3 linked regions of the Nothobranchius furzeri genome follow. The protein of the gene in region 2 interacts with the protein of the main gene of each other region in a pairwise test. Links are inferred from orthologs where the notes say so. Each region holds a gene or a part of one and is shown on either strand. Other genes may lie near its edges.

Region 1 (10,543 bases), on a different chromosome or scaffold from region 2:
GGCCCTACAGGCATGCTGGGATCTGAGGAGGCTGACAGCCGATTGAACCTGGCTCAACAAACTGTCTGCGGAGGCACAATGCACTGATGCTTTAATCTTAAAACATACTCTAAACAATGCCAACCATGTTTCTGCTGGGAGCAAAACAGTTGGCCTGAATCACTATTGTGTTCACAATCAGCCAGTTAGCGACAAACATGATTCTACACAGCAGAGAGGCTTTTCACTGATTCATGACGCTTTCTGCACTGACAGGATGTAAACCGTGTGCTTGTGGAGACGATCTCATGGCTGGCAGATGCTCTTTTCTTTCAACCACAAGTAATCAGACTCATTTGTGTACCTGCTCCTGCATTTGTTTTCCTGTGGGTGAACGAAATCAGCCTCCAGCATCTTTCATTTCCTATCAGGACCAGCTTTTTTATGTTTACACCAGAATCCTTTCAGTTTCACCCTATTTATGAGGCTCTTGTGAGAATTCTTAGTTTGTTTTCTAACACAGTCGTTCAGAAATGAGTCGATCACCACCCGAGCTTCAATTCCAACAATAGCTCAACTTCATTTATTATTTATAGAGTTAGATCGCTCATGTCTGAAAGCAACCTGGTTACATTTAAGATGTCAATACACTTCTGTTTTCTTTGTGATTGTATTACCCAGTGAGTGGATGGATGTGTCCAACCTGTGTGGAATAACTCTGGGTAATTGGAATAAGGCTCTAATCAAAATTTCAATTAGAATGCTGCTGGAGTTATCTCAGCTGTTAAACTCGAATTAATGTATTACTCTTTCTTTGGCTTCCAGTGTGGGAAACATTCTCAGTTTGGATGGATTATTGAAACCCACACAAAACTGGGCAGAGTTGAGTTTGTATTTTTCCTGCTTTTTGCATAAAATCCATAACAAAATAAACTATTCTCCATCTCATCTGTTTAATTACATTCACAAGCCATTAGCTGCTGCTTGCTTCCTTAGTTTAATTAATGAAGTTCGCCATTCTCGGGGGGCTGAATGATTCCATCACTGTAATGGAGCAGCGCCACCGCTAGAGGGCAGCAGAGCCTGGTTAGTCTTCTGAGTAAAAATACACAAAGAGCGAGAGAGCACAGAGCTAGAAAGTATAGACCAGCTTTTCAGCGACGAATCCCTATCAACATATTTTGTGGCTCTCGTTCTTTAATTCCATAAGGTGTGATTTTCTTGCACATCCTAATTATTTATTTGTTTGTGTTTAACTGCGTGATGTGACCCTTTATTTGCTTACTCAGGCGGAACCACGACCCAACAGCTTCGCTATCTGTTAGAGCTCTATCGCGTTGTTGTTGTATTGTTTTGATTGGGAAATAAATGAGCAGGAACAGCCACGGGTCGCGATAAACAAGGTCAGTATCTGCATTTAATGCGTTAAAATACATAAGTGAGTGTTTCTTTCTGTATTAAAGCTGCACCTTTATGTCTGCACCTTCAAGACTAGACCTGGTGGAGCTAACGCTAATGCTAGCTGGTCTGGCTAGGAGCACTACTAGCTTAACGGTTTTACGTTTACTTTACGAGATTATAGCTTCAGTTGAATATAATTTAATGTGTTTGATATTTGATTAAAGTGAAACAAACAAGGAAATAGCCCATTTTGACAATTTGTTGCGTTAGTTAGCCGTAGCGTTAAGTGCTACATGACGCTAACTGTTAGCAGTCCTTGTATTTGTTTCTATTTGTGTTTAAATGACAACAGTGTTTAGTAGCATTACTGCCCACTTTACATACCTAAGTGTGATTCCGATCACATCGGTCACTAACATTAATGCAAGCCTTAATTTAATAAATTTGTTACAGGCGAAACAATAAACAAAAAATGTTTAAATATCTCATTTTTCCCATAATAGTTCGTTTTGTCTGTACTGTGCTTTTTAACAACGTTAAAATGATAGGATTTTGTTTAAAGTGTGTACATCGGATCTATTTTTTAAATGATTGTGTTATTTTTATTCAACTTTTTGAGGAAAATGTGATTTTAAAATGTTACCTGGGTTTTTCAGAGTTAAATTGTGAGGAAAGTTTTCTGGTTTTTCACTGATGCCGCAGATGCTCTTATATCATTATGGTTATCTACACAAAGTATTATTGCCTACAAACACCCCGTGTTGTATGCAGAACCACATTAGCACACATTTGCATCTTAAATTGCAGTGCATCCTCGTAAACGACACTTGTACTCACAAGAGTCTTTCCTGGTTAAATAAAACAACTTTATCGGGTTTCCTCAGATCTCAGGGCTGGAAGATGTGTTCTTGTGGCCAGCTCAACTAGAAGTGTGCATTTGGAGTATTTGACTCTTCACTGTGTCTAAATGGGAACTGGAGCTTTTTTAGTCCAGATTCGACATCGTTGTGAGCTCAGCTCCATCAGGAGGCGCTGCTGCATAGTTTTAGGGGACGTCTGGAAACCTTCAGGGGTGCATGTCAAGCACCACTGATGGTATTGGTGAAAGAGCTGAATTCTCAGTAGGCAGTGTGTGAGTTTAACAGAAGAGGTCAAAGGCTAGAACACGGTTTTACCTGAGGTGGTCCTGCGTGTAGCGGCTGAGCTAAAGGAGAGTTCAGTGCTGGTAGCTGGTTAGCTCTCTCAGTTGTTTGTCTTTACATCCACATAGTTTCTAGTTGAGAGGAGAACCGTGACATCATTCCTGCTGATAACAAAAGTAAACGACTCAGTGACATTTCTGTTGGGAGCAGTTTGGATGAGGAGCAAATCCTATTTCTGGTGTCAGGTCCTTCAGGTGTCACAAAGGGCTGCTCCATTATGGCAAAAATGATGATCACCATTGTTTTGACTGAAATTTAGATCTCGATTGATACGATTTTTAAATCAATATCAATTTATTTGTTCTTTCATAAAACAGCACAGGGCCCAACCAGAGGAAAAAATAAATAAGAAAAAAACAAGATCCTCAAAAAGACCTCCGAGCATAAAAGAGCCAGTACACTTGCTCATAGTTTATGACCCACAGGGTTTAGGCTGGGGTTTAACTCATGGAAGCGTACTAATACAGACCCAACCTGGTAAAAATATCTGACAAATACTGACCGCAAGAGTTGGACAGTGTATTTATATAAATAAAGATCAATAAAAACAACTAAGTACAGCAGCTACGAGTCCCTCGGAGAGATGCATTATTATCTATCAGCATCAGCAACTTATTTCTATCTGTTTAAGACCTATTTATTTACAGCATCAGTTAATGTAATTACCAGTCTTTGTCAGACGACGCGTCGGGTGCTGTAGCGTGTTGCATGATGGGATGGCTGGGTGTATAAAGTGTTATAAACCTGCAGGTCACACGTTTACAAAGAGCAAAAACTTGGTAATGACATGAGATGTAGCGTCTGTGCTGTTATTTACCCTGTTACTGGTTTGACTTTCCATGGCAGGTGTGGCTGTTTGATGCAGGTCTCCCTTTGGACCATGTTTAAATGGTTCAGAATGCAAATTCTGCCTCTTTGGATAGTTGTCATTAAACCTTGTACTGAAGAACTTTTACACAAACAACAGGGAGCCTTAGCCACGCCCTACCAGACCACGGGTCCCCAGAGGAACAAAACAAATGCAAAAATGCCTCTTGTTCTGTTCCATGGATTTCACATATGATTTATGATGAAGACACATCTTGATACCAAGAACGTGCTTATTCTCAAACGGGGGGAACGTTATTTTAGCTTTTGTGTGAAAATAAGTCCAGGACTACAAATGCGCTTCACCACAGTGACGTCATTGAACCAGACACGGGGAAAATGGGGAGAATGGCTGTAAGTTCAGAAAACTTCGAATCTTTTCCTCAGGAGGAAAGAACCGCCATAAGTCTGGTCATGTGGTACGTAGCAGCCGGTAGCGTCACATATGCGACGTGCCGATGTAGTCATGCTAGTTACGAACTTTTACAAGCTAATCAATCTCAAAGTACGTGACTGGCGTGGTCGAAACCGCCATCATTAGTTTTCATTTAGACTGCAGTACAGCATGTGTGTGATCCAGGGCGTACGGCAAAGCAGGTTAGAAAATAACCATTTTAGCTCCGTTGACTTGCGTTCTTTTTTTTTTTTGTTGTTGTTGTTCTTCCGGAGACCCGTGAGCCGACCGGAGAGGGCGGAGACTTGGGCTCCTCTTTTACACTCATGGAGTTAACAGCTCTGATGTTGATCAGCTTTGCTAGTTTCTCTGTAGCTTGGGGCAGATATCGAGGCTCATCAGCTCAGCGACGTTTTTCCAATCTTCTGTGTCCAGTTGTGGTGAGCCTGCTGTCGCCTCAGTTTCCTGTTGTTAGCTGACAGGGTCAGGGTGTCGTGGCCCATCTGTGTTCACAGATGGTCGTCTGCATACCCAGTGGGCTCAGTGCTGTTAATGGTGGCCATCTTAGTTTTAGTCTCAGCCTTGATGACAGAAAAGCATTTAGGCTTCGTCGGTTTTGGTCGACTCATCTTCAGAAATGTTTTGGTCAACACAATTGTTGTTGTTATTGTTACAAAGAAATCAAACAGAATGATTTCATATGTGAGACGTGTTCTCTGAGCTGCTGGAGTCCGTTTCATTCCATCATTTATTTTAGGGCTTTGGGACACATGAGAGAGGAGCTTGTTTTGTTTTTGTATCAGCGCTAGTGTCCCACCAGTCTGTCAGTAATCAGATTACCAGTACCACTGGTCTGCTGGGGTTGGATACAAACCCTCGCTTACTCTCTGTCCTGTCAGATCTCCATTTCCAGAAGTGATGGAGGAGCAGACGGGCTCTCCCGCAGCCACTGCTGACAACGGCAGCCAGAGGAATGGAGAGGAGGTCAGAGGTCGACATTTCCAGTTCAAACTCCAACAAAGCTTCGTCAGCTGCACCGAGGACCTTCCAGTCACACCTCCTGTTGTTTCTCTGCAGAAACCTCGGCGTGGCAGCTGGACCAAAGGGAGGAAGAGGAAGAAGCCCATGAAGGACAGCAACGCACCCAAAGCTCCGCTGACGGGCTACGTCCGCTTTATGAATGACAGACGAGAGCAGCTGAGGGCGGAGCGTCCAGACGTGCCCTTTCCCGAGATTACGAGGATGCTGGGAAACGAGTGGAGCAAGCTGCCCCCAGAGGAGAAGCAGGTCAGACTCAGACAGGATTACACAGCCAGCTCCAGTCTGTGAACCTTAAACCTTCCACGGGCCTCCAGAGCTCTTCGGGTTTCACGCCGGTAGGTGAAACAGCTGAGGAGGGTTAGGTTAGGTTAGCGCCACAGTCACTCTGAAGTCCCTTCTGTTAAAACATCTGGATTCACTAGTAAGCACCCCTTGTAAGTGGGCCACAGCTTCACACACACACACACACACACACACACACACAGCAGCTGAGGGTGAGGTCCTCGTGTCTGATTCAGGCTGGAGCTTCTGACTCTGGTTGACCTTGTTCTAGTCTGATGGAGCTGGGCTCTGGTGGGTCTTCAGATCATTAGAGCTCTTAGAGCTCTCCCTGACGACTGCAGCTGAGCTTCCTCCACCCTCTGCTGCAGCGATACTTGGACGAAGCAGAGCGAGACAAGGAGCGCTACATGCGAGAGCTGGAGAAGTACCAGAAGACGGAGGCCTACAAACATTTCACCAGGAAGGTCCAGGAGAAGCAGAAGGGCAAGAGGCACCGGGGGGGTGAGAACAGGCCAAGTGTTCTGGTGGCGTGTGATGGAGGTAAAAACTCACTTCAGACACACACATCATTAGCTGTTTTCTCCTTCCTCTCCAGATTCTGGACACCAAGCTTCCAGTGAGGCTCTTCATGAGGTCAGTACGGTCTCACAACACCCGGTTCCACTGAGGACCAAATAAATCTAATCCACATAATCTAGACAAGAGCACGTTTGTTTTGGAGTCACTGGTGGAGTGTGTGGTGTAATCATTTACACTGGAGAACAGGTCTGATGGGCCCTCAGAAGGGGCAAATCAGTTAATCAGTTTCTGTTTTTTATTGTTATGTTTTTATGACTTTGTTTTATTTTGTTTACATACGGGCTATATAAATAAAATGTACTCAGTTACTACTTACATAAACGAGTGTCTCAGTCCGGCTGCAGCAACCATTTTCACTCAGCAGACCTGTTTTTGTCTGCTGGTTAATGACAGAGCAATGCCGAGGGAAAAGACCGGACCGTGTTTGACATCCCGATCTTCACAGAGGAGTTTCTCAACCACAGCAAAGGTGAAACATCTCAGCCTCTGGTTCTCCACCGCTGTTTACTGGCTGATGTCCCCAAACCTGTTTGTGTGTTTTCCTGCTCAGCTCGAGAAGCTGAGATGCGTCAGCTGCGTAAGACCAACATGGAGTATGAGGAGCGTAACGCAGCGCTGCAGAAGCACGTGGAGAGCATGCGCGGGGCGGTGGAGCGGCTGGAGGGGGACGTGATGCAGGAGAGGGAACGCAACGGGCTCCTCCATCAGCACCTGGAGACGCTGCGCCAAGCGCTCACTTCCAGCTTCTCCTCTGTGCCTCTGCCAGGTGAGAATGGCCACAGCCAGCGCTACCCTTCTGCTTCACGACCGCTAACCGAGCATTTCCACCGGACGCGTAAGCGCTGCGTAACATGGTGCGTAGTGGATGGGTTTGCTTCCACTGGCCACGAAGCGTCCCAGAAGCGTAGGGGTGTGGCGTCTAGTTTTTTACACGCTACGCTCCCAGACAGCGTCAAGCTCAACAGTTCACATCTGGCCAGACAGAAAGTGAAAAGCTATGTAAAACATCCTGACACTTTCAAAATAAGTCATGTTCAGATTTCCAGTTGTTTAACTAGTAAAAAGGTATTTAGTTTCCTGTGAAACCTCCGTAGCCGAGTAAACGGAAGAGAAAATAAACCATAGAGCTTTGTACATACATGCATCCGTCTTTCTTTTTGCTTGTTATCGTGTGAACTGCTATAATCACATGTGGTCCTGCAATTCTTCTATGATTTCCTGACCTTACAGGACCAGCTGGGTGGAATTTTTTGGCTGCTGTTTCCATCTGAAACGCTTCCCATAGAAAGGGAGCTAGAGGGCAGAACATGTCATTATGCACCGCCTATGCATCCAGTGGAAAGTCACTGTAACGGGGTTAATGCATCACACTCGTTAGATCACTCCAGTACGGCTGTGTGACAGTTAGAGGGGAACTCTGAACATCCTGGCCCACAGTGACCTCTTGACTTGGAGTTTGGGAACTGACTATTTCTGGTGTTTGTAGGCAGCGGAGAGACGCCCACACTTGACACCATTGATTCTTACATGAAAAAGCTCCACAGCGTTGTTGTCAGCAGCCCGCAGGAGCACGAGCATCTCATCAGCACCGTGAGAGACGTGGTCAACCGCCTGGACAGGTAGGCGCTCCGTAGAGCCTCACATCTGCTTACTGCTAACCCAGTTTAAACCAGTTCTGATGTCTTTGTGTCTTCTTGTTGTTGGACCAGATAATCAAATGAAGGTCTGACGACGACTCCTCCCATCATGCCTCTCAGCTGAACACCATGAGCTCATTGTGACGACGCGTCTCACTTACCGTTATGTTATGAAACCTGTTTACGCCTGGGTGACATGCCTGTAGACATGTGAAGATGCGTTCTACTCGTTAATTCCTGTTTGGGTCCAACACAACAAGGAGTGTTCTGTTTCTCATAAACAACTTGTGCCATTGTTTGTTTTTTAGTTTGAAACATGTTTGTATTTTTAATAAATGTCTTTTCATTGAGTTCAAAACACCTCATTAGTCCCCGTACTTCCTTCCAATGTTACTGAATCTAGTCCTAGCTGGTTCCAAGTGGTCCTAGTTGATTCCAACTAGTCCTAGCTGGTTATAACTGGTACTAGCTCTAACTGTTCTTTGCTGGTTATAACTGTTCCTAGCTGGTTATAACTGTTCCTAGCTGATTCCAGCTGGTTCTAAATGGTTATAACTGGTCCTAACTGATTATAACCATTGTAATACCAATGCCCTATACACTGGCACTGGTTACTGAGGCGGTTGGTAGTCTTTACGTGCATTTAAAAGAATTGCAGCTTGTGTTTATTTCTGATGATGTTTATTAATTTGTCTTCTTCCAGAAAGTCCAGGATCCATTCACTGCAGTTAAAGTGGTTTTCAATGAATACGTTACTTGCCCCAACGACAGTCCGCAGAGTCCATTACACACAGCCACAGTCCTCGCCACACAGTAAAAAACTGCTTGTCCCGTCACAGCCACCTCGAGTCTAATCTGCATTGGCTTCAGTAGGCTGGTCCTTCCACAATCAATTTACCAATCAAATGAGGCCAAGCCTCCTCTCAGGTATGCAGAAAGAAAATGAAACCAACACATATGACTCCTACACCTGTTCCTAGCTGTTATAACCGGTCCTAGCTGATTATGACTATTCCTAGCTGGTTATAATTGGTCCTAGCTGGTTGTAACTCGCTGGTTATAGCTGGTACTAGCTAGTTCTAACAGGTTCCAAATGGTTATAACTGTTCCCAGCTGGTTATAACTATTCCTAGCTGGTTATAATTGGTCCTAGCTGGTTGTAAGTTGTCCTAGCTGGTTATAACTGTTCCAGTTGGTTATAAGAGGTCCTAGCTTTTTCCAGCTGGCCCTAGCTGGTTATAACTGTTACTTTCTGGTTCTAATAGGTTCCAAATGGTTATAACTGGTCCTAGTTGGTTATCATTGTTCCTAGCTGGTCATAACTAGTAGTAGCTGGTTCTAACAGGTTCCAAATGGTTTTAACTGGTCCTAGCTGGTTGTAACTGTTTCTAGCTGGTTCCAAGTGGTCCTAGTTGATTCCAACTGGTCCTAGCTGGTTCTAACTAGTTCCAATTAGTCCTAGCTGGTTATAACTGGTACTAGCTGGTTATAACTTGTTCCAACTAGTCCTAGCTGGTTCCACTGGTCCTAGCTGGTTCTAACTTGTTCCAGCTAGTCTTAGCTGGTTATAACTGGTTCCAATTGGTCCTAGTTGGTTCCAACTGATCCTAGCTGGTTGTAACTGTTCCTAGCTGGTTATAACTGGTACTAACTGGTTATAACTGGTCCTAGCTGTTTATAACTTCGTAGTTGATTATAACTTGTTCCAAATAGTTCTAGCTGATTATAACTGGTACTAGCTGGTCATAACAGGTTCCAAATGGTTATAACTGGTCTTATTAATCAATCAATCACGTTTTTATAGCGTTTTTCGACACCATAAAAGGTGACCAAAGGCCTTTACATAATAAAATAAAACCGTAGTGTATAAAAATAGAGATTACAATAAAAAGTTTTGCTCTGCTTGTCGGTCTTGCCACACAGGGTCACCATTTGCCCAATCATTATTGTGTTATGCCAAGCACAGTGCTCTATCGGTTTGGTGGGCGGGATGATGCAATGGAGTAGACGGAGCAGAACAACTAAGATGGCAACGCCTCAAAGCTCTGAACAAACTTTAAACCTCACCTGATGTCAAATCAGTGACTGTGTTGAGTCTGAAATCCAGTAGAACCCAGAATATGTTGTTTCCTACTTCAGAACTGGACCTTCTGAAACCAGATGTGGAGAAACCAGGTCTGATGAGCAGGAAACCTGAAAGGTATCATCTTCTCCTGATTAGAGCTGCAGCTTGCACAGGACCAGGAGCTCATATGTTCATCCCTGGAGTAGTGGCAGTAAAACTTTTTCATGTGCTGAAGACTCCCATCTTATTAATGTTGTTTACTTTTAAACTGGGGTCTCATCCTTCACATGCACTCTCCTGGTCTCTGAGCTAATTTGTATAATGAGCTTAACTGGAGCCTGATCTCTTTGATGTGGACTCAAAACTGAAAGTGATGAGGAGGAACAGGTTCAACATCTCTGCACTTTTCTCAATCCTTTCATTCTCTGTTTCATATCCATCTTTTAACAGAACCGGGAGTTTTATTCCTGCAAACACCTCCATGTCTGATGCTCTGCAGCCTCGAAGTGGGGGTGCTATGAGCTGGTTCCAGCAGTTCCTAGACCCAGAGAAGGGATGGGGGTGGGGGGTCTGGACGGTTCCTGATCACTGCTGAGTTTGACCCAGTTGGGTTTTTGTTCTGCTATGGGAGTCCTCCGTCTTTAGTAGAGATACAACAGACTTTAAAGAGCAAGTCACCCCCAAATCAACTTATTTTATCTGATAAATTATATAAAGGAGTGTCTAGACACGTGTAGTCAATAATTTGGCTCTTTAGTGCATCTTAGTTAAAATTTAAATATTCTGCCTAGAATTGTGTAGCGCCGAACAGTTTACTCGCAAACTTCAAAGCGATCCTTTTCAAACTGGCAGAGTCTTGGCTGCGGCATGGCTTCCTCGCTGTGCTCTTCGCTGGACTCACGAGATCACAAGGCCCCTCGAGACTTCGGGTCATGGTTTGTTCAACCGAACAACCAAAAAGAAAGAAATCACGTTATCACTGATGTCATATATGATATTGTTCCTCTCCACTGCCAGGATTAAAGCCATGAAAATCACACCGCTGCACTTCCGACCGGTGCTGTGAGTAAATAAGCCCTTGGGTCACACGTAAACT
Region 2 (10,480 bases):
GTTCTGGTTATTTTTGCTTGTTTCAGGCCTGGAGAGTCTGTTTCACCTCACCCAGCTGAAAAAGAACGAGCTGCTGGTCGACATGGAGGACTTTGAAGGGAGGAAGGTGTATGCTCGTTACTCCTCCTTCTCCATCACCCCTGAATCAGACGGGTATGGAGTGAATGTGTCTGGATTTGTTGACGGAGGAGCAGGTGGGTCTCAAATTAGGAGAAATGCTATGTTCATGAAATGTGACTGTGAACATCAGCGGGTGAAAACATGTTTGTGCACAATTATTAGGCATCTATCAGTGTGCAAATTTATCAGGCAGCTATATCACCCCTTTAGTCTCATCTGTAAACAGACAACACACATTTTCTAAATAAACATTTATGACGTAATGAAATCAGTGACCAACACAGCCACGCTTCTTTTCAGTAGCAGCAGTGAGACTCCCTGTTAGTCTCTGGAGCTGACCTTCTCTCTGTACAACAGCAACACACCGTTCAGAGAGGTGAACAGTTTCCCTCTCTGGTGCGTTGTCTGTTTAAGGGCCCACAACTTCTCAGTAAGGGTTAGGTCAGGCGAAGAAGGGGACCATGTCGTTATTCAGTCATCTCCTAAAGCATGAGTAACAGAAAAACAATGTAGTGAAAGAAGCTGGCACTGTCTTTAGGGGACCGGGTCTCAGGAGCCTCCACAGGCTGGCCAGGAGGTGGAGCATCTTGGTGGCCCTTAACCCCTCATCATGATGCAGATATGGACCCTCTCCGTCCATCTGGTCCATCACATCTCACACAAAACCTTTGAAAAAGCTGTCTTCAGATACTCCTTGGTCATGTCTAGATGTTTCACTTTGTCTTGTTCAGTGGTGATTGGGCTTTAAGGAAATATATCTTTGTTGTAACGGTTGCATGGGTTAGGGTTAGCGCTTGGAAGCTAGTTTTAGTAGCGACAGGTAGTGGATACAAGGTAGTGAATGAAGGTACAACAGTACAACAAACTTTGCAAAGTGCAACTTGCCATTGAGACAATCAGATGATTGCATCACTATGTACAGGTTAGCAATGTGAGAGGTGTGCATACACAATGAGCTATATTAATGTAACATGTCATTTAAGAAGCTGTGTGGAGTCCCGTGTGTCAGAGACCAGGTACTGGGTGTCCATGATTCTCTGCAACCAAAACATTCTGCTAATTTAATCTTTTTTTTGCTGTATGATTTATTTCTTGGCAGGAGACACACTGAGTCGTCACGATGGACAAAAGTTTGCCACTTTTGATAAATACCAACATGCCGGACCAGACAACTGTGCCAGACAATTTTTGGGTGCGTTCTGGTACTGGAGATGCTACTATCCAAACCCTAATGGAGTTTATTTGTGGGGGGCTGATGGATCCAAATATGAGGTCGGTGTGGTCTGGTACAGCTGGAAGGGCACTACCTACTCTCTGAAGAGTATCAGCATGAAGATCCGACCCATCAGGTGAAGCTGCAGAACAAACATCCAACATTTGTAACAGTTGAAATTGTCTTTGCTGCATTCTGACAATAAACTACTGATGCGATCTGATGTCTGTGTTAGTCAGATGACAGGTGTATGTTTGAGTCTCATTGTGTTGGACTGAAGGAAGTTTTTGGAGTTCTGATGTGGATGCTACTGCAGAAGATGCCTGGCAAATTACAGATTAAGACTGAGATTACAAATCAGGCTGCAGGAACAGAAAATATACTGTGGAGAAAAAAAAAGCAAAAATGTTTCAGCAAAGTAAATTTCAGCATCATGTGATTTAGTCCAAAACAACTTACAGATGAGAATGTAAAAAAGCAGTTACCGTTGAAGCAAATAATAAATCATACACATTTTCACAAATTTTTATTAAAACGGGAATACGACCTGCCTCTAGGCGAAAAAGTAATGTCCCCCTAATTCCAATATTGGGTTGTAACACCCTTTACTCAACAAAGGTTGGAAATAAAAATTTTACATGAAAACAGAGGATCTATTTTTCTCAGAAACATTCACATTCTTCCATTTATGAAGAGTCAAAACGGGACATTTTAATTTAAACTGTTAATTGATTCAGCTGCTTTTAGGAAGGCCCCGCCTCCTCAGCTGTCAGAGGGTTTCATCCTTTTGGCAGCAGGAGCTTCACCTGTACACATGAACACAGAGAGGGACCTGGGTGAAACAAGCATTACTTTGTTTGAGTCTGATGAGAAACCAGATGATGAAAAAACATCAGTTGGAGTTCTGAAGGACAGATCACCATCGCCTCCAGCCTGATTCAGCTTCAGATAAATGCAGTGGAAACTTACTGTCGGCAGAGTCCTGCAGCGCCTCCTGCTGGGTTTTCCAGGTGTGCACAATGCCGCTGGCTGTCGACCTGGTTTCTGACAAATGAACAAACAGTGTGGTAAACAGTCTGAACCAACAGGAAGCCCGAGTCTGCAGAACTTCAACAGGATTTACCCGCACGCAGTAAAACAGATCTGCAGGTGGACGAGATAGATTCTTTAGCATCTCGGTTGGACAAACCAAACAGCAGACCTCTGAGAACCAGATCAGGAACGCAAGACATGAAATGTGTTGTACAACACTACACACCAGACACAGTTCTGTGAAAACACACACGATGGTCTGTTCTGATATCTCACAGACTGCGGCAACACTGAGCCCTATGTCAGATTAATGAACAATGGTTAAAGGATACAGGTTGGCGATGTCATATGGTCCTCTGAGCTCCCAAGACTGAAAACACAAATATCAGGTCAGAGAAGTACGGTGGACAAAAAGGGCTAAAACTCAGTTATTAGAAATGTTCTGATTTGGTGAAACAGAACCTTTAGTTAAATTCATGTTTGATCCACAGACGTAGCTGATCACTGACCTTGTCAGCTGCACTCGACAGGATCACGTTCTGAAAAACAGAAACAGAGCTCAAGATCTCACCTGCAACGTGATGTCACAGAGCTTATGTCAAATAACAGCATAGTGTAAATTACTCTGCAGCTAGCCAATCAGATGCAAGGACATGCATACCTTCCCTTTACAGCTCTCCATCAGGCACACGGCGTTGGCGATGGTGTAGCGCCTCATGGTAGAGTCTCTGATGGCTGCAGCATAGGATACCTCAAATGCAACGCCTCTCTCGATGGCCTGAACTTACACAGGTTCACACATTCATTAAAACACACACACACACAAATAAACAAACAAACAAAAGCCTTGGTTGTCACCGCATTGATCGGCGCTCTCTTGAAGAAAAAGGGTAGCTTCTCTGTCACTGGGATGCAGATGATGTCGATATCGTACAACGTGCAAGCTGCCTGAATAACACACACACACACACACACACACACACACACACACACACACACACACACATAATACACATACTTCAGTAAAAATAGAGTGCTTTCCACTCAGTCTGTTTCATACAGGTGTAATTATTGTACAGCTGTGTTTTCCAGGACAAATTACAGCTACTGCTATTACAACCACAGTTAGTTTCTATTTTTTATAATGTTGTGTTTCTTGAAAACTTTTCCATTCAGTGAAATTGCAGTTTAGGTCCTGTTGTGTTTTCTAATTAAATGTTGTCAATTTATTATTTTTTTGTCTTTTTTAAACTTTTCTTTTGTTAAATATCCAGTTGTGTTTCAGATGGTCTTTTGTTTAGTTTTGTTGTGCGTTTTTCCAGTAAGTTGATTTTTTAAAGTCACATATTTCATCCATCAACATTCCTGTAGTCAGTGAAAGCATCATCCTGTTGGAGAGATGAACAGAGTGTCAGTGAAGCTCACATGGAAGACTTTCTCAGAGCTTGAATGGAGGGCGATGAGGTCGAAAAATCGAAAAGCTGGAGAGTTGGTCGGCTGTGAGCACGCACGCACGCACACACACGCACGCACACGCACGCACGCACACACACACACACACACACACACACACACACACACACACACACACACACAAAACAGGCTGTGGCATCACATCATACAATCCATTTCAAGATTATTGATCCCTTAGCTCTAATTAGACAACTCACATAGTGACTGGCGTCAGACATCACCAGCGTCAGTCTGTTCAGCACTCTGATTGGACGAGAACGGCCCTGCACCATGGGCAGCTTATCAAAGATCTCATTGATCGGCTTTGGTGAGGGAATTTCCTGCAAAGACAAAATAAACATACTCCCAATAATAAAAGTTTGAAACAAAATGTAAATTCATTGACAATCAACTGATTGATTCAGCATCTGCTTAACCATAGAGATCAAGTGAATGCTCGGAGATCAGTTTTATAAAACCCGTTTTGATGTTTTACCATTTGGATGTTTCTGTTCATAAGAATGAATGAGAATGTAATAAAGTATCAAAACGCAGCCACATCAAAGGCTTCTATCTGACTCCATGCTGTTCCTCAATGCAGCGCAGTAGGTAGTCTGACCTGTTTCTTCTTGGCTACGAGCTCAAACACATAGTTGATGGCGACCGTGGAATATCCAACTGTAGGAGGGGAAAACAAAATCCCAGTTAATCCCTTCAGTGAGGTTTGCATCATCCAGGTTCTGATTCTGGATCTGTGGTTGTGTAGGGTTTAGGAAATTGAGTGCTTTAAGAGCTCTGTTTGTGTGAATCAGGTGGATATCACGATCCTGTCACAGTCACTGATGTAAATACTCCAAACTACTGAAGATCAAGTAAACATCTGATATCTTTCTGTTTCCTGTCAGACGTAATGATTATGTCTCAGGCTTTATCCTCAACAGTTATTGTTCAGTTACGCACGTGCAAAGGGTCAAATGGACAACAAAGAATGCTTTGTTATGAAATATTGTTCCTAATCAAAAGTACATAATCCAAGGCGATGTTACGGGTTTGTGGGTTTTAGATGCAAACAAGCTGTGATCGATTATTTCTCTAATAAACGGATTCAACTTTTCCCACAAAATCTAGTGATAAGGGTTGTTCTTAGTGATGTTATAAACAAGCATTATCGATTAATATCTTAACAAATCAAGTCATTTACTGACAGTGTTTAACTGATACCAGAGCCTCATCAGCCGAACCAAAACCAGCTGAGTTACGAGGCGGACCAACTAAACACAACACTAGAAAAGGTCTGGTTTAAGGTCGAGAATACTCACGATGAGCAGCTGTTTCCACCAAACTCTGCAATTGCTTTATATTAGACGAATACATCACGTTTAGGTCCATAAACACAGACATGGTACCACGAACCTATACAGCTCCACATATAGAAAACCGCAAGGCTTGCTGGGAGCTGGAGTCTTGTTCTCGATGAGTGAGTGACACGGGCTGAGGCTGACACAGAATATTTTGTATTACCGCCACCTGCTGGTGGCGGAAGCCCCAAGCCCAAGAACGACAAAAGAAGAAAACCAGTGGATTCTGTGATAAAGCTAATCTTTTTTCTCAATTTGACATGAACCTGTTTGGATATTTCCTCCTGGGAAGACGTATCTTGTTTTAAAGTGACTTAAACACACGCGCGCGCGCGCGTGCGTGCACGCACACACAATATGACTAATTTAAGCATACATTAGTAACAGAGGTGCATTTTTGTTTTATTATAGAAAGTATTTTAGTATCACTTTAATACCAGGACAGACAAATTACAAAGAAATCAAATACTTTCATTTTTCATTTTCTAAATTTTGACTAAAGTTCAAATCAATCATATTTACTGCTTTACACTAGCCTGGCAAGCCAGACTAAATAAATCTGTTATTTAAACTTTGCAACGCAAGAGGTCTAGTAGTTCACTAGGTTATTTTTATTTACTTTGTTGCTTCCAAAGAACTGCAGCTGCAGTAACAACAGTCTGGCAGCAGGGGGCAGCCGTGCCAAACCGCTGCTCAGGGAACAAACAGCAGCAGCAGAAGAAGAAAAGGTCAGAGGTCAGTGAAAAGTCGAAAATTTACTGCAGACGTCTGAGATTCTCGCGCTTAAACCGAACCAAAGTGGATGTTACACTGCTATAACAAAGCGGGTCAGCCTGAACTCTGAGCGGGTTTTTGTGTTCAGAACCACTAGCCTGACACGAATCTATAGTTTCAGTGTAACCTAACAGAAACGAGCAGATTTACAGAATCCCTGATTATTAAACAGGGCATCCTACCGATCTAACACTTCTGCCTGTGAAATAAATCTGATGCAGTGTGAGAATAATTGTTGGAGGTCACAAGAATAATTATTCAGAAAAGTGTATTTAAATCAGACCTGATCAGACTAGTTTGAGTGGAAAACTGCTGCTTATGACTGGTAAACAGGTTAGTATCAGCTTCATTAATGAACATCTTGCAGAAACATAAAAACAGACTCTGTGTGCAGGCTGAGGCAGCAGAACCACACCAATCCAGTTCAGATCAGTCTGGCCTAATCCAGCAGGTCCGGTCCAGAATGGCTTCCCTGTTAAGACCTCTGAGGATTTTCTTTCCCGCCAGATGCTGTGTTCCGACCCGTTTCTACTCAGGCTTCGTGTCCAGGATGAGGTTCTGAGGCTTAGACATCTTATTTATTAATTGTTTGGTTGATCTGCTGATCATGGATGGATGTTTCTGTTCAGATTCCTGAACAGTCTGAAGGAGTGTGATGAGGCGTGTGTTGCAGCGCTGCAGAACGCTCACATTTTCCTGTTTCATCGGTTGGTTCCACTGCTGCAGCAGACTGGCCGAGGAAACTTATCTCCAGTCTTTCTCACCTACTCAGGTACACAGCCCAAGAACCAGAACCCACAGACTAGCGAATCCAGAAAGTCAGGGACAGATCAAGATCTAAGACTTCAGTCAGAAGAGGAAGTAGTAGAACCTTCACTTTCAAACATCTCTTGTGATTATCTTCCAGATGTTCAGTCTGTCTTGCAGAAACTTGGTTCTGACGAATCCCTACTAAAAGAGTCCATTCTGGTTGGCTGTTCAGATCAGAACCAGGCTCAGTTCTGTCTGGATGTTGGTAAGAACCTGGTAATAGGTGAGCATCAATTTGAAATGGCTCTGAGTTCTGGTTCTGGTGCATGCGTGATACGTTTTAGGAGAACTGGATCAGGCAGCAGTAGCAGAAGAATTTAAAGGTTGCTTCATGGACCTGAGGAAAGCTTTCTTCCTTCTGAATGGATCAGGGGCGCCTCTAGTGGCCAAGGTGCGGCTCTACAATGGGACTCTGGTGTTGTGTTCTTTATGACTGTTCAAAACCACAGCATCTCATGTCCACTGATCTGTGTTCATGTTCTGACATCTGCTTGTCCCACAGGCTCAGGCTCTGCTGCGCTGGCATCAGATTAACAGGTTCTGTGGTGCTACGGGTCAGCCGACCCAACGGAACCAAGCTGGTAGTCAGAGAGTTTGCAGCAGCAGCTCCATCATCTACTACCCAAAGGTCCAAAACTTCTCGGGTTTCTGACTAAAGGCTGAAAAGTTTTAAACTTGTTTCTGAGTGCTTTCAAGTTGGTTACTGACTGGTCCTCATCTAATTTCTGATCCTTGTTTAGTTTAGGACAGGCTTTAATCTGCATTCTTGTTAGTTATTTCACCGTTTTATCTCTAGATTCTAACCATGTTTTTCTGACTGGTCTGTGCTTCTGATAGGTCATGTGACTGTTTTCCTGCAGATGTCTCCAGTGGTGATCGTCCTGGTGTCTGATGGGAAACGGTGTTTGTTGGGCCGTCAGTCATCCTTCCCTCGGGGGATGTACAGTGCTTTGGCCGGTTTCTGTGACATGGGTCAGTCTCACCTGTGTCACCTGTTTACCTGGAGTACAGATCCACTCTACGGTGAACCCATAATGTGTGTGTGTGTGCGCGCGTGCGTGTGTGTGTGTGTGCGTGTGGCTGATCTCTGCAGGGGAGACCCTGGAGGAGGCTCTATGTAGGGAGGTGGCAGAGGAAGTGGGTGTAGAGCTCCAGAGCATCTCCTACAGCTCCTCACAGCACTGGCCTTTCCCACACAGCTCTTTCATGCTGGGCTGCCATGCTACTGTTAGCCCCGCCCACACTCAGGTAGCACCCACTTATACAAGTTCCAGTTCAAGGTTTACATGAGTACATCTGAGACAGGGGAGTCAGGATGTGCATGTGTAGATTTTATTCAGTAGAAACGTCAAATAGGACAAACTCTTCAGGGTCTAGAAAGGTAGAAAACCCAGGACTGAGTGCTGAGGGACACCTGGACTGCAGGTACCTGCTATATGTAACAAATACTTATGACCTGTTGTGGTGTCTTGTCCAGCTGAATGTTGACCTCTCTGAGCTGGAGGACGCCCGCTGGTTCACTGTGGAGGAAATCTCCAGCGGCCTGCAGGTGAAGACCACACCAAGGAGAGGTGACCCTCCCAGCTTCTGGCTGCCTCCCAAACACACTCTAGCCAATCGCCTCATCACAGAGTGGAGAGACCGCCAGCGAAACAGCAAGGACTCAATGGGATGAACATGGCAAGATGCCGACAACTTGTGCCTGACAGAGATTCATGAAAAACAGTCACAGGAACACATTCCTTGTGTGTTCCTCATGTTCCTGAATCATAATCCCAACCTGTGTGCCTGAGACTAACTGAGACACTAGCTGTTCTACTGGTAATTCATAATCTCAAAACCTTTCACACATTTTGAAACAGAAGTTTCAACGTTTTTCTCGCAAATCTGACATTGTTTGATATTTCTGAGTCTCCTGAGCAGAACCAGAACATCTGCTGTTTCTGTAAAGAAGATTTAAATCCTTTTTCATGTGGAGAGAATTAAATGGCTTGAATAGGAGGGTGTCAGTGATCCAATTTTTACTCTTATTTTTGGAATGTATAGATAGACCTCATTTACATACAGTGCTGCTTCAACAGTAAAAATAAATAGGAATCATGATTGGATCCAAACTGTTTCATGAAAAAGTGAGGGGGGCATGTTCACCCTGTCCACCCCATAAATAATGTCCTTGCTTACATTTTATTTTCAACACACAAAAATGTTCATTAGAGAAACCTGAGTTTTTCATGCAGGCTGAACATGATAGTACTCTCCTACACCTATCTGCTGCATTAGCTTCTAACAAGAAAGGCTGTTCTTGGCTTAGCATCCAGGAAACAGCAGAGAACGTCTCGGCTAGTAGAAGCTAACTGTTAGGACTACTCCACCACACAGCAGAACTCCTCCAGGCTTGTTATTTTTGGAGATAAAACATCAACATTGCAAGTCAGTGGTAGAGTTGCTTTGCGTCTGCGGAGAGATGTCCAAATATTAGGAATTAAGACTCCAACATCTGCCGTCTGCAGCTCAGCTGTGATGTAGCTCACTGCTAGTTCCTGAAGCTGGTGCACCGTTATCCCCCCCCCCCCCCTCCAGGAATATTAAAAAAATATATATATTTTTAATTTTATTCTTGACTTAAGTTTTAGTTAATGTATTTTATGTTTAAATAATTTATGTTTAAACATCAGTAAAGTTGGAAAATGTCAAAGAACTGGAATAAAGGTGAGAACAGGAATGAGGGATCCAGATTTTATTAGAATGTTTTATGTCATGGTTTATATCTGCGTTTCAGATTAAGCTGGTTGGGGTGAGGTTCAGACTGGTGGCATTATGAACAGAGAAAAGTAATCTCAAGTATTTATTCATCATATAGAGTCAAAATATACCCAAATGTTATTTTATTTCACAAGCAATTAAAGTTTTAAAGAGTAAATCAGTCCAGTCCTGCAGCTGGCCTGGTCCGATGGGTAATGTGGGTATAGGTAGGAAAAATGTTCCTTGGTTGTCTGCTGCGGTCTGATTTTTCTCTGTTATAAACTGTATGTTATTGTCATGTGTTAAGTGCCTCTTGTGACTGTGCTGCAAATCCAGTTGCCCAATTTACTCATTTACTACGCCTGTTTGCAAAGAATTTTAGCCTGGCAAGCAAGACTAAATAAATATATTATTAAACTTTGCAAAGCAATAATTTTGTTTTGTTCACTTGGCTAAAAAATTTGAGAACAGAGAAACTTTTCAGACTAAAACTAATCCCAGACTCACTGCTGATGTAGCTAAATTGGTCCTACACACAAAACACAAATAACTCACAGCACATCATTTCTGAAGTTGTATGGTTCTCCATCATGGTGAACTGCGATGGAAAACAATGTGGGAGAACAAGGAGTCAAATACTGACCTCAAAACAAAATTTTTGTTGTTGTTTTTTTTCTGGTAGAATGTTGTTGCATTAATGTTCTTTTCTGAAAGAACCCGATTTGAAATTTAGATTGTTGTAAAAAAAGTTCAATAAAGTTTATTGAAAAAAAGGCGGAATCTTTTTCAACCGGAAGCAGGTCCAGTCGGAGCAGAAGTGAAGAACACACCGTAGTTTTGAGTACCAGCAGTGTTTTCCTGAACACTATTCTCCTCTTTTTGACTCCTGCTTTCCTCTGGAGTGGTTTTCTAGTCGTTACCCAAGCCTCCGGGTGTAGCAGCGTCTCTCGGAGCTCAGCTGATGCTCCGCGGGGTATCG
Region 3 (10,633 bases), on a different chromosome or scaffold from region 2:
GACTGATTCTATACAACTGTGCAAGTGTTCACCCTGTGGATAAAGAGGAAGAGTGTCTCCCTGATGGTCTAGTGGCTAGGATCCGACGCTTTCACCGTCGTGGCCCGGGTTCGATTCCCGGTCAGGGAAGAGTTTCATTTCTATACTCATTATCTAATGTCAAATATCATTGTTAATGACATAATTGAGGACATGGCTGCTTTAAGATAAATAATTAAAAACAGGTACATTTACACAATCAGTAGGTTTGGTGATGTTTAGAATGGATTAGGAAATACGCTACAATCTACTTAATTTGAAGTAGGACAGATGAATCTTTGCACTGGCCTGGAATCGAACCCGGATCAACTGCTTGGAAGGCAGCTATGCTCACCACTATACCACCAATGCCACGTAATTCAATGTGAAATCGTTATGATCGGAAAGATGAAATGACTGGTCTTTCTTGGGGTTTGAAGTTTTACATTTTCATTGTGCACTAAACTAATTTGACTTGCAACATCAGTGACTGCTGACAAAGAGTCAGATCAGAAACCGTTGTCTGTGTTCAATTTGATCTACATTAAGATGAAACTTAATCCACAGGAAGGCAACAAAATGTAATCAAAGAAAGACCTTTTGATTTTCAACATGACAGAGATGTCCACCCAAAAACCTATAGCAGTTCCAGTGCTAAAATAGTCTCCAACGCTGTACATTTCGTCAAATTCCATGACTGTTGACAGTCTGAGGCCCTAGTATAGCTTTAGTTCACTATAGCTTTTGTTCACAACACAAAAAATTTTTTCCAGAATTTAGTTCTTAAAGTCTATGTGTTGCAATAAATATTTGCTCTTAGGCGTGCTTGACTGCTTGCTGAATTTAAGACAATTGAGCCTAATTGTAGACGTTCCGGAAGGTCATTTTACACACCGATGGGACTCTACGCACATTTTTCTGGCAAAAGAAATCCAAAATCAGGACGTCAGTTGGACAATGCAAGTTCATGGAATGACTTATTCTATACAACTGTGCAAGTGTTCACTTGGTGGATAAAGAGGAAGAGTGTCTCCTTGATGGTCTAGTGTCCGACGCTTTCACCGTCGTGGACCGGGGTTAGATTCCCGGTCAGGGAAGAGTTTCATTTCTATACTCTTTATCTAATGTCAAATATCATTGTTAATCACATAATTGAGGAAATGGCTGCTTTAAGATAAATAATTAAAAACAGGTACATTTACACAATCAGTACGTTTGGTGATGTTTAGAATGGATTAGGAAATACTCTGCAGTCTGCTTAATTTGAAGTAGGACAGATGAATCTTTGCATTGGCCGGGAATCGAACCCGGGTGAACTGCTTGGAAGGCAGCTATGCTCACCACTATACCACCAATGCCACGTAATTCAATGTAAAATCGTTATGATCGGAAAGATGAAATGACTGGTCTTTCTTGGGGTTTGAAGTTTTACATTTTCATTGTGCACTAAACTAATTTGACTTGCACCATCAGTGACTGCTGACAAAGAGTCAGATCAGAAACCGTTGTCTGTGTTCAATTTGATCTACATTAAGATGAAACTTAATCCACAGGAAGGCAACAAAATGTAATCAAAGAAAGACCTTTTGATTTTCAACATGACAGAGATGTCCACCCAAAAACCTATAGCAGTTCCAGTGCTAAAATAGTCTCCAACGCTGTACATTCCGTCAAATTCCATGACTGTTGACAGTTTGAGGCCATAGTATAGCTTTAGTTCACTATAGCTTTTGTTCACAACACAAAAATTTTTTTCCAGAATTTGGTTCTTAAAGTCTATGTGTTGCAATAAATATTTGCTCTTAGGCGTGCTTGACTGCTTGCTGAATTTAAGACAATTGAGCCTAATTGTAGACGTTCCGGAAGGTCATTTTACACACGATGGGACTCTACGCACATTTTTGTGGCAAAAGAAATCCAAAATCAGGACGTAAGTTGGACAATGCAAGTTCATGGAATGACTGATTCTATACAACTGTGCAAGTGTTCACTTGATGGATAAAGAGGAAGAGTGTCTCCCAGATGGTCTAGTGGCTAGGATCCGACGCTTTCACCGTCGTGGCCCGGGTTCGATTCCCGGTCAGGGAAGAGTTTCATTTCTATACTCATTATCTAATGTCAAATATCATTGTTAATGACATAATTGAGGAAATGGCTGCTTTAAGATAAATAATTAAAAACAGGTATATTTACACAATCAGTATGTTTGGTGATGTTTAGAATGGATTAGGAAATACTCTGCAGTCTGCTTAATTTGAAGTACGACAGATGAATCTTTGCATTGGCCGGTAATCGAACCTGGGTCAACTGCTTGGAAGGCAGCTATGCTCACCACTATACCACCAATGCCACGTAATTCAATGTAAAATCGTTATGATCGGAAAGATGAAATGACCGGTCTTGCTTGGGGTTTGAAGTTTTACATTTTTATTGTGCACTAAACTAATTTGACTTGCACCATCAGTGACTGCTGACAAAGAGTCAGATCAGAAACCGTTGTCTGTGTTCAATTTGATCTACAGTAAGATGAAACTTAATCCACAGGAAGGCAACAAAATGTAATCAAAGAAAGACCTTTTGATTTTCAACATGGCAGAGATGTCCACCCAAAAACCTATAGCAGTTCCAGTGCTAAAATAGTCTCCAACGCTGTACATTCCGTCAAATTCCATGACTGTTGACAGTCTGAGGCCATAGTATAGCTTTAGTTCACTATAGCTTTTGTTCACAACACAAAAAATTTTTTCCAGAATTTGGTTCTTAAAGTCTATGTGTTGCAATAAATATTTGCTCTTAGGCGTGCTTGACTGCTTGCTGAATTTAAGACAATTGAGCCTAATTGTAGACGTTCCGGAAGGTCATTTTACACACCGATGGGACTCTACGCACATTTTTGTGGCAAAAGAAATCCAAAATCAGGACGTCAGTTGGACAATGCAAGTTCATGGAATGACTGATTCTATACAACTGTGCAAGCATTCACTTGGTGGATAAAGAGGAATAGTGTCTCCCTGATGGTCTAGTGGCTAGGTTTCGACGCCCTCACCGTCGTGGCCCGCATTCGATTCCTGGTCAGGGAAGAGTCTCATTTCTGTACTCTGTATCTATTGTCAAAAATCATTGTTGATGACTTAATTGAGGAAATGGCTGCTTTAAGATAAATAATTAAAAATAGGTACATTTACACTATCATTAGGCTAGGTGATCTTAAAAATGGATTAGTAAAGACATTTGAACCTAATTGTATAAGTTCCGGAAGGACATTTACACACCGATGGGATTCTAGGCAAATTTTTATGGCAGCAGAAATCCAAAATCAGGACGTCAGTTGGACAATGCAACTTCATGGAATGAATTACTATATACACATGTGACACAAGCATTAACTAGGTGGATAAAGCAGAAGATGCTCTCCCTGATCGTCTAGTGGCTAGGATCTGATGTTTCATTTCCATATTACGCAACTACTGTAAAAAATCATTTCTGATAACATGTAATGGAGGAAATGGCTTATTTAAGATAAATAATTACAAATTGGTACATTTAAACTATCATTAGTTTAGGTAATCTTAAAAACGGTTTAGCAAAAACTCCACCAACTGCTTGATTTGAAGTACAACAGCAGTTAGCAGTTCCAGAGCTAAAATTGTCTCCAATGCTGTACATCAGGGAGACACTGCTTCACATTATCAAATTTAGTTTTCAATGGTGTTTTACGGTCTCTTTTCTCTGTTCTTGGTGAAGTTTGATCCTCTGATGTGATGTTTTTTTTTTTTTTCGTTTTCCTGCCACTTTTTCAATAAAGGCAAATCTCTTTCGAGACGTGCTACCATGTTTGCACATGTTCTACAAATACGCTCTGATTTTTTTCATTCTTGGTTTAAATTTAATCCCTAACACGCACATCTGTCGGAAACTGTCCTGTCTTGTAGTTTTCGGTCAAATATTAAAACAGAATTGTTTATAACTTCGTGGATTCTTAGATTTTTACTACAAAGACGACAACTACGATTTACATATACGCCAGACGCCATCTTACTACAGGTGAAAAACTACAGCGTCGCGCGATATAGCTGTCATTTCCAACTTTTTTCTGATTGGTTATTTTTGAGCTGGCCAGTCCCGCCTCTCATGGTGCTCTTTGCCGAGAGTTAGCAGACTCAGTCTCTGTGCAGAATTAAACAGAGAGAGTCTGGCTTGCCAGGCTAACAGGCTGGTGCTAAAGAAGCCCAATAATAAGATTCTAACACAGACAAGGTGCTTGTGGTTTTTCATAGCCAAACCCTTTTGAACAGTTGAAATTATTGAATTAAAGCTTTGATCAATTATTCTGAGACATCTGAGAAATAAGTCACAACATTAAGTTTAAATCTAACTTTTGTCAGAGATCAAAGTCAGTGATTTTTGTTTTCTCTCCCCTAAATATCTACTGTATGAGATTGGTTGTCATTTTTGCAAAAACCACCATTTTGTTTTTGTTTAATTTTTTTAATTAAGAAGAAACAGAATAATTATCAAAAAAGTTTGGATTTATTTTTCAATGGGATGTTGATATTAGTGGAAAGTTATGTGAAAAAAAAATAAATTGACCTAAAAGTTATTTACTGGTACTTTTAGTTTCATTCTTTTGTGGAAATTCAGACATTGCTACAAATTGGCTTTGATTTCAGGTTTCCAATTATTAAAGGGCAGTTCCATCCAATTTTTCCACTGATTGAGCATCTTTAATCTGCTCACATTTTCAAACTACAACACCTGGACCAGTGGTTCCCAAGCTGTGGTTCGTGATCCACCAATGGGGTCCCCACCAAATTTGTGGGAATTCAGCACATACAAGTGCCTCGTGATTTTTATCTTGAAAGGCACTGTACAAAAGATCAGCTATTCTTCTTCTTCTACAACATGTTTGTACTGAGATTGTAAGGTTAACACACAACCAAGGGATGCTCAAGGACAGAAGACTGGGAACCACTAAACCTGGACCAAATTCTGCTACAGTGTGAGCAGAATCTGTTAAACATATATATTGTGATGTTTCAAACTGTAATTTGATTAGTGAAAACAGTCTTTTTGTTTTCTTTCTTTAATGTGAGAATTATTTATTTAAAATGTAGAAAATGTTGAAATTTATCTTGCCTGACCGGGCACATCTCTGGGTGCTCAGCACCCCTAAACCTCTGATGCGAGAATCGCCTCTGCTGATAGTCATCTTTTTGGACTGTGGGAGGAAGCCAGATCACCTGCGGGGAACCCATAAATGCACAGTGAGTACATGAAAACTCCATGCACAATTCGAACCTGGGACCTTCTTGCTGCAAGGCAACAGTGCTAACCACTGCATCGCTGTATAGCCCAAGAACTGAAATGGATTTAAATATTTTTTAGATATCATGTACAAATACCTAATTTATACTGTTTTATCTTCTTTAATATTTAATTTTTTAATTATTGTTTTGTAGATTGGATGTGCTAATGTGAGTTTACTCATTTGAGTACATCAGTATTGTTTTTTATTAAGTTATGTTTGAAATGATATCAAGAACAGCATTCGTTCTGTTCTATTGACGCAGACGTAAACAGGGAAGCTTTAAGCTTGGTTTATGCTTGAGGAATGCCAGTTCACACTCCAGATCGGTAGAGGGCGATAATGTACTTCACGTTGTAAACCTTTAAAAAAAAAAGTTGTGCTGCGCATGCGCTTTACATGAACCCTCTCTTCACATCCTGGGTGAGTTCAATTCGTTTTTGTTGGTGTTTGGCCTAACAGGTAATTCTACTTGCTTTAGTTCTGTTTTTTTCCGAACAAACGTTGACTTTAATTTGCTGTAAGTTCTTCCAGCGAGGCGATTTGTCCTTTCTGATTAAAACGGGTTAGCTTAAACAGCATGAAACATAATTAGCTTCCGTTAGCGTGTAAAGGTCCGGCATTACTCCTTTGGAATAGTAGGATGTTCTAGGAAGGTCCCGTCATTCTCGCCTCTGATTGGCAGGAAGAGCTCTCTCTCATACGATTGGCTATTTCATGTAACAATAAACCGTGTTCTCTCGTTGCAGGGTGTTCAATCTCTCCAGCCAGATTTTGAGGAGTTTAGTGAAGAAATTGTTAACTTCGTGCTATATTAACCATCATGTCCTGTTTTGCAACAAACCTGTTTGTTTCTTTTATAAAAGAACCTGAAAAACATCAAATGTGTAAATTTTGTTGCATTTAACACACTGTTAGATGACTTTATCTGTTGGCTCTTAAACACTGGGGTTATATATATTACTATATATAGGCCAGGGATATTCATTGTCGGGCCTGGAGGGCTGGTATCCTGCACGTTTCAGTTTTAACTTCAATCAGCAGGTAATTATCAGGCTTCTGCAGGGCCTGATGAGCTGCTGCGCAAGTGAATCAGCCACTGAATCAAGTGTGTTGAATCTAAAAACGTGCTGGATACTAGCCCAGCAGGCCCGGGATCTCCCTCCTTAAGGCTATCTTATGTCTTCACTTTCATAGGTTAGTGTTTGCAAGTTAGAACTAGAACACACATATCATCTGTTTAAATGTGCATTATTTAATAGAAATTAAATTCAAAGCTGATTAAGGTTTAGACCTATTTTTCATACGTATTCATTATTCTAGAATAGAAATAGTCAACACAAAGCTGTGAAAAACAGGGAGGTTTTATTATATTTAATTGCCAGGTTAAGGCACACATGTTTATCCTATTTACTCTGCTTTAAGAAGAAGCTTTAGAGCCAACAGATATAAAGTAATTGCTGGGTTTCTGCGTCACTAAATTAGGGCTGCCACAAACGATTACTTTAGTAGTCAGCTAGTTGCCAGTGACGATTAGTCGACTAATCGTGTCATTCATAAAAGTTTAGCTTATTGCACCAGGATGCTCTAATGCTGGGGTGTCAAACTCAGTTTTGCTCAGGGGCCACATTGAGGAAAATCTAGTCCCAAGTGGGCCAGACCAGTGTTTTTTTTTTTTTTTTTTTTTTGTTTTAATACGATCAACATAAAACAAAGCTGGAGCCTGAGGACAGTGTATCCAAAATAGTTAAAGCACAACATCACCATTAATAATAAAACACCTGAAGTGTATTTGAAAATGTGAAATGCAAAACAAAAAACCCAAAGAGGGCAAGCTCAGTGATTCAAATAACTGATTCACAGATCACATGGCTATATCAGTGTCATACATGTCTTTGACTCCTGATACCTGACATCTTTTAACTTTCACCAGTAGTTTAATTGAAAAATGAAAGCTTATTTTCAGACTTTACATTGTTAAGTCTGAAAATAAGGTTTACGCAATCATCTCGCGGGCCGGATTTAAACTGTGTGCGGGCCTGATCCGGCCCGCGGGCCGCATGTTTGACACCCCTGCTTAATATATCCATCATTAGCTTCTAGATTGCTGATGCTGATGCTTGCAAGGCCTCGTAAGACATCGCCTCGCAAGGCCAGGTGCCTTGACATTGAGAAACACAGAGAGTCTTTACAGCAATCCTCATACTTTGGACATTTGTCATTAACTTTGTTGTTGTTCTGATCATAACAGGTAATTACAGATTTGTGTGTTTTGGTCCACAGTCAGCTGATCTCTGAGGTTCTGTTAGAATGACATCAGTCAGAGAGAAGATTGGATCTTCTGGGTTCCACCGAACGGTGCTGAAGAACGGCTCGCCTTACTGCTATATGAAAGTCTGCCTGTTAGTCTCTGGTTTTTAGTAGTTTTCCTGTCTTTGGTGCATATCTTTGATCTTGTTGGTGACTTGGTGCATTACTACTTAAGGGTTTTACAGGATCAGGAAACCAGACTGAATGCAGTTGAACTGAAGAGTTTAATCATCACTGGTCTGAAGGATCTACATGGAGAGGTGAGCTAAACACATCTATTGTTATCAGAGCTGTGACTAAAGGCTGCATTCAGTTACTGAAATGCTTCTACACCAATGTGCTTCAGGTGGGAGCAGCGCTGCCCTTTGATGTGTTGAAGTTTGATGAAGGGTCTCTCACTGCTGTGCTGCGTGTTTGTAGTGGGTGAGCCCAATGCTGCTGCTTCAAACGTCTGACTAAATACACTTGATGGGGTCTGATTGTTTTGATATTTCTTTCAGAGGTCTGGTGAAGTTGTGGAGCTCCCTAACTCTGCAGGGTTATTACCAGAGCCAGGCCTGTGCCTTCAGAGTCCTGCAGGTCAGCAGATTTAACCTTTAGCTCAGTTATTTCTTAGATTTTAATTTGAATTCACCTGTGTGATGTGACCGAGGGTAAAGCCTGGTTTATACTTCCGTCAGCTCGAGTGTGGAGTCGCACTCAAGCATTGACAGAGGTGTTTCCCCTTCAGACTTCTCCATCACCTGGGGAGCGTTGCAAAGCAATTCCTCTACCTGTACAACAGAGAGCATAGCACCTTTCACCATTACAGTCATGTATCTGGTCCTAGATGGTGTGTTTACATGCTTTGATTTATGTCAGAGACTATTTAACATTGACAAATTTGACCCATATTCTGCTCCACCTCTTCACACTTGACTTCCAAATTACCCGTCATTTCTGTCCATCAATAAAATGCTTGCTAGTAGGGCTGCAACGCATCCTCGAGTAACTCGAATGATTCGAGGACAAAAAATATTCGAGGATTTTCCGCTGCCTCGAGGACTCGTTAAATAGACCATAGCTGAAAAAAACTGCGTTTTGCACGGATTCTTTGTGTTGCAACACCTGGTTACGTCACAGATTATACGTGCCATGCACTCTACTGCACAGCGCGCAGGCGCAGCAGTCTTTTAGTCTTTTCAGCTGGACAGCCGACTATGGCAGACGCCACGGAAATAAATGAAAACAAGCAAGACCAAAACGAGGGATATAGGAAGCGACCGAAGTTATCCAAAGTGTGGGAGCACTTTACGTTAAAAAGCAAGGAAAACGTCGTCGTATGCAAGCATTGCAAGGTGGAGCTAGCATACCACAACAGCACTTCTTCCATGCTGCAGCACCTCTTAAGAAAGCATCCGACTGAGGGCATGAGTGGACGTGCCGAGACCAGGTAAATAAGCTTTTATTTCAGGACGTACATGTTGACTCAAATGTAGTGTCAATAAAATACATTTATTTGTTATGAGTTAGTTTTAAAGTGCTGCTTTAAAATACATCTGTTAAAATGTATATTTTAAAAATTGGTTTACAATTTAAAAAAAACTTTGTTTGAATGATAGTTTGTTAAAATTATCCCCAAATTCCAGTTAATTTTCATGAATTCCCCTATTTCTTGTGCACAGTTTCTAATTTTAAATATTTCCAAAATTCCCCAGCATAGCCTTGCATGGAAATGTACCAAATCCTAATTGCAATTTAGGAATGTTTTACTTCACTTTATTTATTTTTTGCCTTTTTTTCAGTAAAACATCACAACCTGTCCTGGATAGATTTCTGCTGAAAGCACCTGCCTGCACCCCAGCACAAGCAGCTGTACTGACAGACCGCATTCTAAATATGCTGGTTACAGACATGCGCCCACTGAGCATGGTGGAGGATGCTGGCTTCAAAGCGATGATTGCTGCTTTCCAGCCAAATTATGCTCTTCCATCTCGGACCTTTTTCACAAAGCGGTTGAAAGAAAAATATGAAGACATCAAAAACAAGATGAAGAAAGCCCTGCAAGAGACTGACACCATAGCACTTACTACTGATATCTGGACAAGTGTGGCAACAGAGGCCTACATGGGGGTAACGTGCCACTACCTAGAAAACTGGAAAATTATGTCTCATTGTCTTACCACTATGCCCTTGGAGGAGAGGCACACAGCTGCAAACATTGCAGATTGGATTGAGGAGGTAATTGCCAAATTCAGCATTCCACCAGAGAAAATCAAGGCTGTTGTACATGACAATGGTGCTAATGTTGTAGCTGCAACAAAGATTTTGCATGCAAAGCATGGATGGGAGCACTGAAATGTGCAGGACACACCCTCAACTTGGTTGTGCAAAACACTTTAAAAAGCCAACAGGCTATCTCCAGGTGTGTGGGTGCAGCAAGAACTCTTGTCGAACATTTTAAGAAAAGTGAATTGGCAAGCACAAAGTTAAAGGTCAAGCAGAGGCACATGGGGACCAAAGAAAACATGCTGTTGCAGGATGTCTGCACACACTGGAACAGCACCTATGCCATGTTGTCAAGGCTGCAAGAACAAAGATGGCCAGTGACTGCTACATTGTCTGACCCAGAAGTGACCCAAAGAGGGAAACATTACCTGGATCTCAAATCTGACCAGTGGAGCCTGATTGAGGAGCTCAACCAGGTCCTTGAGCCCTTCCACTCTGCCACAGTTTTTATGAGTGGAGAGCAATATGTTACGCTTTCTGCACTTCCACATGTTGTTGACAAAATTAAGAAGTCACTCCAGAGTCAGAATCTCGAGTCACCACCTGTGGTGTCATTCCAGACTCATGCAAAAGAACAGGTCACAACAAGATGGAAAGACTTGGGTGAGTTCAAACCAGAGTCTCCAAACATCACACTGCTTGCTGCTTCTCTGGATCCCAGGTTTCGAAAACTCAAATTCTTGCCTGCTGACCAAGCATTTGGAGTCAAAAACGCATTGCAAACCATGGCAC

Evidence for each region.
Region 1: the proteins of rpp30 (region 2) and hmg20a interact in binary tests that used the Homo sapiens proteins (3 or more experiments, as listed by UniProt). The two-hybrid records come from large-scale screens. The link is inferred for Nothobranchius furzeri from reciprocal best matches to the Homo sapiens genes RPP30 and HMG20A.
Region 3: the proteins of rpp30 (region 2) and rpp14 interact in binary tests that used the Homo sapiens proteins (3 or more experiments, as listed by UniProt). The link is inferred for Nothobranchius furzeri from reciprocal best matches to the Homo sapiens genes RPP30 and RPP14.

The regions. Positions count from the first base shown.
Region 1 is NC_091754.1:44,442,768-44,453,310, forward strand, and holds hmg20a (high mobility group protein 20A), read left to right. Parts: upstream 1-1,068; 5' UTR 1,069-1,189; intron 1,190-1,268; 5' UTR 1,269-1,382; intron 1,383-4,742; 5' UTR 4,743-4,761; coding exon 4,762-4,827; coding exon of another isoform or gene 4,828-4,834; intron 4,835-4,920; coding exon 4,921-5,130; intron 5,131-5,534; coding exon 5,535-5,667; intron 5,668-5,761; coding exon 5,762-5,799; intron 5,800-6,138; coding exon 6,139-6,214; intron 6,215-6,295; coding exon 6,296-6,511; intron 6,512-7,231; coding exon 7,232-7,364; coding exon of another isoform or gene 7,365-7,368; intron 7,369-7,454; coding exon 7,455-7,458; 3' UTR 7,459-7,742; downstream 7,743-10,543. UniProt on the Homo sapiens protein: Plays a role in neuronal differentiation as chromatin-associated protein. Acts as inhibitor of HMG20B. Overcomes the repressive effects of the neuronal silencer REST and induces the activation of neuronal-specific genes.
Region 2 is NC_091756.1:51,149,145-51,159,624, reverse strand, and holds rpp30 (ribonuclease P protein subunit p30), read right to left. Parts: upstream 5,293-10,480; 5' UTR 5,219-5,292; coding exon 5,137-5,218; intron 4,496-5,136; coding exon 4,437-4,495; intron 4,159-4,436; coding exon 4,036-4,158; intron 3,863-4,035; coding exon 3,791-3,862; intron 3,314-3,790; coding exon 3,224-3,313; intron 3,144-3,223; coding exon 3,027-3,143; intron 2,905-3,026; coding exon 2,875-2,904; intron 2,736-2,874; coding exon 2,698-2,735; intron 2,537-2,697; coding exon 2,457-2,536; intron 2,378-2,456; coding exon 2,303-2,377; intron 2,140-2,302; coding exon 2,096-2,139; 3' UTR 1,843-2,095; downstream 1-1,842. Other genes in the region: microfibril-associated glycoprotein 4, read left to right, coding at 27-194, 1,220-1,473; nudt13 (NAD(P)H pyrophosphatase NUDT13, mitochondrial), read left to right, coding at 6,302-6,504, 6,579-6,721, 6,857-6,964, 7,044-7,150, 7,262-7,387, 7,620-7,731, 7,853-8,007, 8,237-8,434. UniProt on the Homo sapiens protein: Component of ribonuclease P, a ribonucleoprotein complex that generates mature tRNA molecules by cleaving their 5'-ends. Also a component of the MRP ribonuclease complex, which cleaves pre-rRNA sequences.
Region 3 is NC_091743.1:78,986,545-78,997,177, reverse strand, and holds the start of rpp14 (ribonuclease P protein subunit p14), read left to right. Parts: upstream 1-5,660; 5' UTR 5,661-5,746; exon of another isoform or gene 5,747-5,785; intron 5,786-7,606; 5' UTR 7,607-7,633; coding exon 7,634-7,725; intron 7,726-7,808; coding exon 7,809-7,893; intron 7,894-7,979; coding exon 7,980-8,056; intron 8,057-8,133; coding exon 8,134-8,212; intron 8,213-9,776; exon of another isoform or gene 9,777-9,957; coding exon of another isoform or gene 9,958-10,633. Other genes in the region: E3 SUMO-protein ligase ZBED1, read left to right, coding at 9,958-10,633. UniProt on the Homo sapiens protein: Component of ribonuclease P, a ribonucleoprotein complex that generates mature tRNA molecules by cleaving their 5'-ends.